Linked DNA regions of Mus musculus. The protein of the gene in region 1 binds, or shares a complex with, the protein of each later gene. Links are inferred from orthologs where the notes say so. Each region holds a gene or a part of one and is shown on either strand. Other genes may lie near its edges. The genes, in order: Tada3 and Taf6l.

Region 1 (4,584 bases):
CAGACAAACATCAGACAGAGGGGATAAAGGCTAAAAAACAGCTGTCATGTAGTTCAGCAGTGGGTTCTAGCTCCATACCACAGCATTCTCTTATGTCAACCAAGAAGAGGCAAAACCGGAAAGGCAAAATTAGTTGTGTGCGGTGACAAGTACCGTTGGGAAAGTGATAGAATATTCTTTTCTCTACCTCGATTGTGGCTACCTGATTATTTTGTCAAGGTTCATTGAAAGAAAACTAAATTTTAGATGACCAGCCCTGTGATAGTTACCCTTTAGTGGCTTGAAGAAATTGTACAATAAACTTGAATGCTTAAAAACGCAAAGTCAAAACTCAGTCAGCAGGAAATGGCTTTCACGCTAAGGAATGAAACCAGTTAGGACTAACACTGGAGCAAGCTTTAAAAAGTGACTTTTGAAAAAGAGGGTCTAATTTCAAAGTCTCTTCCCTGAGAGCATTCCCGGGCGTGCAACAAGCAGTCCAGCCTTTAGAACTCAGGTCGTCAAGGGCTGACCAGAGAAAGTAGTGGGAAGCCTGGGACCTTTCGGAGAACAACTGCACGGAGCACCCACAGATCCCAAACCCGAGCATGAAAGAGGAGGACCAGCGGCCATCAACATTTACACACGTTAAGGTCAACACGGTTCTGCACATCTAGGAAGGAGTCTGAATGCAGGCAAGCAACACAGAACCTTCATTGGGAGCTGGAAGGCAAGGCTTCCAGGAAGCGCCAAGAAGTAAGAAGATGAAGTGGACACTTGCCTCGAGGTCCCGTGAGACCGCGAAGGCAGGCAGGGACAGGGGGTTGTACTTAGCCAACCTCTACCGTGGACGGAGAGGAGGCCCCGCAGAGCGGTCCTACCTCAGCTGCAAGCCACCACCACGGGCTTCGCAGCCCGGTCTCCTGCCCCCTCCGAACATCGGGGAGAGGTCATTCTAGCCCGGGATTCCCAACCTGGAAGCTTCCGGGCCTGCTCTTGCTCAGAGAGCCTCCTGGCTCGCCCCTTCCTCCTCGCCTCGGCCCTCGCCCCACCCTTTGCCTCTCCATCCTCCCCGTGCCTCCTCATCCCGGGGCAACCTCGGGCCGCAAGCCCTAGCGGCAAGCAGCATCTCCCCCAGACCCACAGCCTCTACAGGCAAAACACAGGGAGGACCCCAACCCCTGGTCTCTCACCATCGCGGGCGCTGTCTGGGCCGGAAAGCGGAAGTGCGGAAGTGCCCGGACCCGCGACGCCTGCCCTTTCGAGAGAGGCGCAGCCGCAGTCTCCGACAGCACTTCCGGGCTGGACCATCTCGGGTAGGACCGGGGAGGGAGAGCCGAGAGATATTCAGATCTCCGGGGCGATTTCACACTGGGACCTCTGGGACTTGTAGAAGACCTGCTATGAGACAGTAGCGGTCGAGTCCCCTTGGATCGCTACACATATTCCGCCAGCGCCTTTAGTGCTTGTCGCTTTGGTTGTAGCCTCCCCCCGTGTGACAATAGTACAGCCCGACCTCAGGTTGGGCACCAAATTAGGACAGGCCGAACCGGAGAAACGTTTCTTCCGGTGGTGCTCCCCTATCCTCTCCGGGCTCCTCCCATTTGCAACCGTAGGGTTCGGCCGGGTAGCCAGTCCCTTGAGATTTGGGCTCTGGGCCCCACCCCAGCCCCGGGCTGCTTCCTAGCCCGGGACTCCTCAGGCCTAGCATTCCACCTCCCGGAGATTCGTAGGTGGCCTTAGACCCCCACCCCCACCCCGGCCCTACAGGCCACCTTGGGCTGGCCGTCCCCGCCCTCGCGTCAACTGCAGGGGGCCCGCCCATAGCCAGTTCCGGAGCAGTTGCTCCGATCGCCCTGAACTCCCCGCCCCCTCCTGCGGCCCAGGGCCTGTAGGAGGCCGCAGAGAGGAGGTAGGAGAGGCGGGGGTTGTGTTAGGGGCTCCCTAGAGGACGAGGACCCTGGAGGCGGGATCTTGGGGCGACACACAGGTGGAGCCAGCCATTAAGCAGTCCCACTTCTGTGCCAGGCACTGAACTGGGCACTTGACGAGCATCACCTCTTAATCCTCAGAACATTCCAGGGAGGTAGGTAATTCTCGATGCCCCCATTTTACAGATTTATACTTCTTAATGGGGAAATAGACTGAGGCATCATCTTTTGTCCTGGAAAAAAGAAAAACAAACAAACAAACAAACAAAAACCGGAGATTCAGGTTAAATAACATGTTTAGAAACGCACATAAGAAAATGGGCTGGAACTTAGTTCTGTTCACCTGACCAGCCTGTGTTCCAAACTAGCCAGGGACACAGAGAAGGTGCAGAGGTGGAATGGAGTGAGACAAGAGGAGGCAGGGAGAACCCTGTCAAATAGAATGCTAGAAACGACCCAACGTAGGGAAACAGAGGACATAGGAAGACAGGGCACACTAGTATCTCCTCTTCCTTAATGCTGCAGATTCCAGACTTCTGCGGTTCAAATTGCAACTAGGAGGCCGGCCTAATCATGCAGGTTTGTACACCTAGTGACTTGGGAGGCTAAAGCAGGTGGATCATAAGTTCAAGGCCTGGAATTCATGAAAGGGGGGGGGGGCTGGATGTAACTGTAACATAATTAAGTTTGGAGAATTTGTGCCTAGAATGAACAAGCGCTTGTATAAATCAGGTGTGGTACATGCCTAAAATTCCATCTCTTGGGAGGTGGAGACAAAACCTTGGCTACATAGCTAGTTTGAGACCAACCTGAGTGCATATCTTTATCCCAGCACTCAGAGGCAGGTGCTTTCTGGGGTGGGGGTCGGGAGGGGGAGCTCTATGAATCCTGATCTATGTAGCAAATGAGTATCAGGCCACTCAAGACTACATAATGAGATTTTTGTCTCCCCCACCCCAAAATGGGGGTGAGGTAGGGTCTGGAGATGTGTGAGACCCTTCAGTGCTACCAAAACAAAAAAAGACAATAAATTGCAGTTAGGAGTCTAGGCATGTGTACATACTCTTCTGGAGTCTTTTTCCTTTCTTTGTCAAAAGAAAGAAACCAGGCAGTGGTGGCACACGCCTTTAATCCCAGTAGAGGCAGGTGATCTCTGAATTGAAGGCCAGCCTGGTCTATAGAGTTCATTCCAGGCCAGCCAGAGTTGTTATACAGAGAAATTATGTTGAATGAATGAATGAATGAATGAATGAATGAAAAGCATGGCAAAAGGCCCCCCTTTTAAGGTTATGTGCATAATTCAGTGAAGTCAACCTAGCTTGGGGTACAGTCAGGGCTCTGTTGGGTCTCTCTCCCCATGCTACTTTGTCTCCTATCCAATGGCCTTCTCCCCTCTAATTTTACAGGGTCCCACCTCCTGGGCCATGAGCGAGCTGAAGGACTGTCCACTGCAGTTTCATGACTTCAAGTCTGTGGACCACCTGAAGGTCTGTCCCCGCTACACGGCAGTGCTGGCCCGCTCCGAGGACGATGGCATTGGCATTGAGGAGCTGGACACCCTGCAGCTGGAGCTTGAGACTCTGCTGTCCTCTGCAAGCCGGAGACTGCGTGTACTGGAAGCTGAAACCCAGGTGATTGTCCATGGGGGGCATCCACTAGAGACATTGTGTCAAGTTATGGGATGGATCCTTAGGTTCCCTCTCTGCTGAGGCCCAGGGATGGATGGGAAGAGAGACCCACATGGGAATCATGACAGAATAGTTAGCTCTCAGTTCAGCTTACCGTTAGCCAAGGATGCTATCCGACTGTAGGTGGACACCGCCCACGTGTGGCCCCTGAAGTTGCCTGGGAACTTTCTGAGATGCACTGTGATACAGTCAGTTGCATAGACAGAACCACCGGGTGCCTTGGAGTGTGACATAAAGGTTAGCTGGGAGTCTTGTTCACCACCACCAAAAAACCCAGCAGCAGCAGATTTCCCCAGGACTACCATGCCAAACCGTTTGTGACTAGCTTGGGCGGCAGCAGAAGTGAATCAGAATGTAGACCTCCGGTTAAATTCATGTGAGAAAATCACAGAGAAGAACAGGCATTTTGAAATATGAGTAGTTTGCTTAATAACCTCAAATTCTAGATCTCAGTTATCCATGGCGGGGAAAGAAGTGCCCTGTCTCTTCTCTCCGTCTCAGGGGTTGTCTTTGTGTGTTTCAGATCCTTACTGACTGGCAGGATAAGAAAGGGGACCGACGATTCCTGAAGCTAGGTCGCGACCACGAGCTCGGTGCTCCCCCCAAACACGGAAAGCCCAAGAAGCAGAAACTGGAAGGGAAGACAGGACATGGGCCAGGCCCTGGCCCGGGACGACCCAAATCCAAAAACGTCCAACCCAAGATCCAGGAATATGAATTTACTGATGACCCAATCGACGTGCCTCGGATCCCCAAGAATGATGCTCCCAACAGGTTCTGGGCCTGAGCACGTAGCAGGGAGCTGGAGGGGCCCAGAGACTTGTGGTGGAGGCTTGGAAGGCCCGGGGCTAAGGCTGAAGGAGCATCTCACCCACTCCGGGTCTGCTTCTGCCTGTAGGTTCTGGGCCTCTGTGGAGCCCTATTGTGCCGACATCACCAGTGAGGAGGTACGGACACTAGAGGAGCTCCTGAAGCCCCCAGAAGAT
Region 2 (3,809 bases), on another chromosome or scaffold:
GGGATTATATTTTATGGAAGACATCAGAACATCCTGCTAGAATTTATAGATATTACTATACACTCAGAAAAGCTATCTTAGCAGCAGCCATCCTCCAGATGATTGTTCCAGAGTCAATACATGCCGGGCTTCCTCCAAGCTATGAGACAATCAAAAAAGGTGACTGAACTCGGGGAACTCCTCAACAACTCAGCTGTTGTGAGGACCACTGTGATCAACACACCCAGTTCTGTGTCTGACCATGTGGTCTGGTCCCTGTTCAATGCACTCTTCAATGCTGCTGCCTGGGCTTCATTGCCTATGCCTACTCTGTGAAGTCCAGGGACAGGAAGATGGTGGGCGAGATGACTGGAGACCAGGCCAAGTGCCTGAATCTTCAGCATCCTTATGGTTATTATCATTATTATCATTATTTCCTCTACCACCTCTGTGGCAGTCTTTCATTTTTACAAAGAATGCCACATTCTAGATTCTAGCTGCCCTGTGTTCCACTATCCACATCTGGCCCTCCCCTTAGGCTGAGGCCTTGACCCTTTACCCTATGCATGCAAATGTTACCTTCACAGATCAGTTCACAGCAGATTCAATAAAGTACACTTGGTGGAAAAAAGCAAAGCAAAGCTATCTTAACAGTAAATGAGGTAGACTTTGAGAATGAGGTAGCCTGTAACTCTAGCATTCAGGAGCTTGAGTCCAAGTTTGAGGCCAGCCTGGGCTTCACTTTTAAGTCCCTGTTTTTGTTTTTGTTTTTAAAAAACCAAGCATGGTGGCTCAAGCCTTTAATCCCAACAATGAAGGGTAGGGAGTTAGGGGCTAAGGAAAGTTTCTCTGTGTAACCCTGGCTATCCTGGAATTCACTCTGTAGGATAGGACAGCCTCAAAACTCAGAGATCTGCCTGCTTCTGCTGGGATTAAGGTCGTAAGGCAAAACACTTTTGGTTTGGTTTTTTGGGGGGGGCGGGGGGGGGATGATTTTGGTTTGTCTCTTTTATTTCTAGATGCTTTTTCTCACTCCTTCTTTAAAACCTCTCCCCACCTTATGGCTGACTATCCCTCGCCTGTTTAGCTCAAATGGCATGGCTTTTTTTCTTCTTTCCTTCAACTTCCACCTCTGAGCAGCTTCTTAGATTTATAGCTTGCCAGCCCTAAGATGTTTTCTTTTAAACTCTACTAAAATTGTCCCTGAGCTTAAAACACACACACATACCAACTATATTTCTGCATACCAACAAGGAGCAACCCTAAAAAGACTATAGCACTATAGCAGCGTCACTGCAGAAATAAAGTGTGTTGGTTCTCCTTAGAACAATATGAAAGCACCCTAAAGAGTGTGAGCATTTTTTTAAAAAAATGGAAACATGACATAGTCAAGATCACTTGATATGTCCCTAAAACCTTTTCATATATATATATATATATATATATTTTTTTTTTTTTTTTTCTTCAAAATGAAACAAATAGAATTAGTCCAAGTTTCAAAGAGTGGCTCAGTGGACATAGTCATATTAACAGAATTAAGACACATAATCATCTGATGATCTCTATGGATGCTAAGTTACTATTTGCTATAAAATACACAACAGAAACTGATGCTGTGTGGTGCATAAAGCAAGAGGATCACAAACTGATGAAGGCCGGTAAGGGTTATATAACAAGCACTGCCTCAAATAAATGAAAACCCAAAGAGAAAAGGAGAGGAACGAAGAAACTGAGGGTATTTCCTAACATAGTGTTATGAAATGGGCAGGGATTTTAAAAAAGAAAATGTTCTGAAGGGAAAACATTTACACATAGTCAAGGAAGGTATACAATAAACAGGGCCTAAAGCAAGGTCTCAACATGGCAGAATCAAACACACACCACTTTTACAATAAAATACACGTGAATGATAGCTTTGTAACACAGCCACTCTCAAAGGTCTGAGAGAAAGCCAGAGTCCTCACCTTCCAGCCTAGAGCATGCAGCCCCACCACTGCCCCATAGTGAGAACAGAGAGGCCGAACAGGGTCTGTCAGGACCTTCTGCAGGGACAGCAGAATCTGCTGATACAGGCCACTTACAAGGTCTCCATGCGTCCTGTGGAAGCAACAGTCAGGAAGGAGAATGAAGTACCACACATAAAGAGTTGGACATTTGTAGACATCTCTGAGACAGGCTGCCAGATGTGACTGGCCCAGGATCCAAGGGACAAAAGACTAATATCTTGCTATCTTTATAACTGTACCATGACATGTCAGCTAGGGGGCTAAGGAAAAGTTCCACATGTAACATTTAATTTAAAAGCCAAAGGCTTCCTACAGCTCCCTACCACAACCCAATCAACTCTGTAGGCTATCCCACCCTCTGCTCAGCCTGAACCCAGTGGCTACCAGAATATGTGACTGAGTAGAAGGGCAGCCCCATCTCGCAGAGTCCAGTGGTCATTCAAAGGGTTGATGGAGGCGGCCAGTGGCTCCAAGACACAGTAAAGCACGCTGCCCACCAAGGATCGGACATAGGGTCCCAAGCACAGGTGTGGGTTCCGTATCAGGCTCCTTGCCACCTGCAGTAGTCGGTGCAGTTGTTCCAGGTCGTGGCTTACAGATTTTACCTGTTGGTAGGAGAGGATGGCTTGTGGTGGCATGGAGAGACAGGAGCTTGCGAAGAATCTGCTATGAGCCCTAAACAGAGAAGGGTCATAGAGATCGCTAGAGAACTGATCACTTACCCCACTGACCACATAAACAAAGTAAGGCAGGAGTGCTGCAATCTTGGAGTTTGTCTGGAGGTCCTGGAGGGCAACCTGAAAGGAACCACCTCAATAAAGGAAAAGCCACCATTCTGGAGGCTAGGTTAGGATCCACGTATTATCATGTTAAATGTTCATGCCCTGATTCAGAAATTCCGCTGAGCTGGGCATGATGGCACATGCCTTTAATCCCAGCACTTGGGAGGCAGAGGCAGGTGAATTTCTGAGTTCGAGGCCAGCCTGGTCTCCAGAGTGAGTTCCAGGGCAGCCAGGGTAACTCACAGAGAAACCCTGTCTCGAACTATCGCCCCCCAACCCCCCCACCCCAAAAAAAAGGGTATCGTGAGATGGCTTAGTGGTTAATAGCACTAACTGCTCTTCCGAAGGTCCTGGGTTCAAATCCTAGCAACCACATGGTGGCTCACAATCGTCCATAATGAGATCTGACACCCTTTTCTGGTGTGTCTGAAGACAGCTACAGTGTACTTACATTTAACAATATATAAACCTTTAAAAACAAAACAAAATAAAAACAGAAATTCCACTGTTTTTAACCTTAAGAAACTGAGACACAGGGCTGGTGAGATGGCTCAGTGGGTAAGAGCACCCGACTGCTCTCCTGAAGGTCCAGAGTTCAAATCCCAGCAACCACATGGTGGCTTACAACCATCCGTAACAAGATCTGACTTGTGTGTGTCTGAAGACAGCTACAGTGTACTTACATATAATAATAAATAAATCTTTAAAAAAAAAAAAAAAAAAAAAAGAAACTGAGACACAGACAAAAACAGTACTGTCTATTTAAAAGAAAAAGCAGCCACAGGGCTAGGTGTGGCACAGGAGGCAGGTGGAGGGCCAGTCTAAAGCCAACGTGACCCTCTTTTCAAACGAGGAAGGTGGACACAATGAGATTGTTCAATTTGGTAAAAGCACCTGTGGCACACAGCCATCAACCTAAGTTCAAATCTCAGAAACCATGAGTAAGTAGAAGAGAGCTAACAAGTTTCCAGAAGACATGTTTTCTCTGTGTAACAGCTCTGGCTGTCCCAGAACTCACCGAGATCTGCCTGCCGCTGCCTCT

What was found.
Region 2: Tada3 (region 1) and Taf6l share a complex: the UniProt entries of both Homo sapiens proteins name them as parts of the STAGA transcription coactivator-HAT complex. The link is inferred for Mus musculus from reciprocal best matches to the Homo sapiens genes TADA3 and TAF6L.

Annotation. Positions count from the first base shown.
Region 1 is NC_000072.6:113,374,797-113,379,380, reverse strand, and holds the start of Tada3 (transcriptional adapter 3), read left to right. Parts: upstream 1-1,542; 5' UTR 1,543-2,065; intron 2,066-2,435; 5' UTR 2,436-2,483; coding exon 2,484-2,489; intron 2,490-3,316; coding exon 3,317-3,541; intron 3,542-4,121; coding exon 4,122-4,372; intron 4,373-4,496; coding exon 4,497-4,584. Other genes in the region: Arpc4 (actin-related protein 2/3 complex subunit 4), read right to left, coding at 1,173-1,175. UniProt on the Homo sapiens protein: Functions as a component of the PCAF complex. The PCAF complex is capable of efficiently acetylating histones in a nucleosomal context. The PCAF complex could be considered as the human version of the yeast SAGA complex.
Region 2 is NC_000085.6:8,776,144-8,779,952, forward strand, and holds part of Taf6l (TAF6-like RNA polymerase II p300/CBP-associated factor-associated factor 65 kDa subunit 6L), read right to left. Parts: intron 2,783-3,809; coding exon 2,708-2,782; intron 2,591-2,707; coding exon 2,370-2,590; intron 2,077-2,369; coding exon 1,944-2,076; intron 820-1,943; exon of another isoform or gene 1-819. UniProt on the Homo sapiens protein: Functions as a component of the PCAF complex. The PCAF complex is capable of efficiently acetylating histones in a nucleosomal context. The PCAF complex could be considered as the human version of the yeast SAGA complex.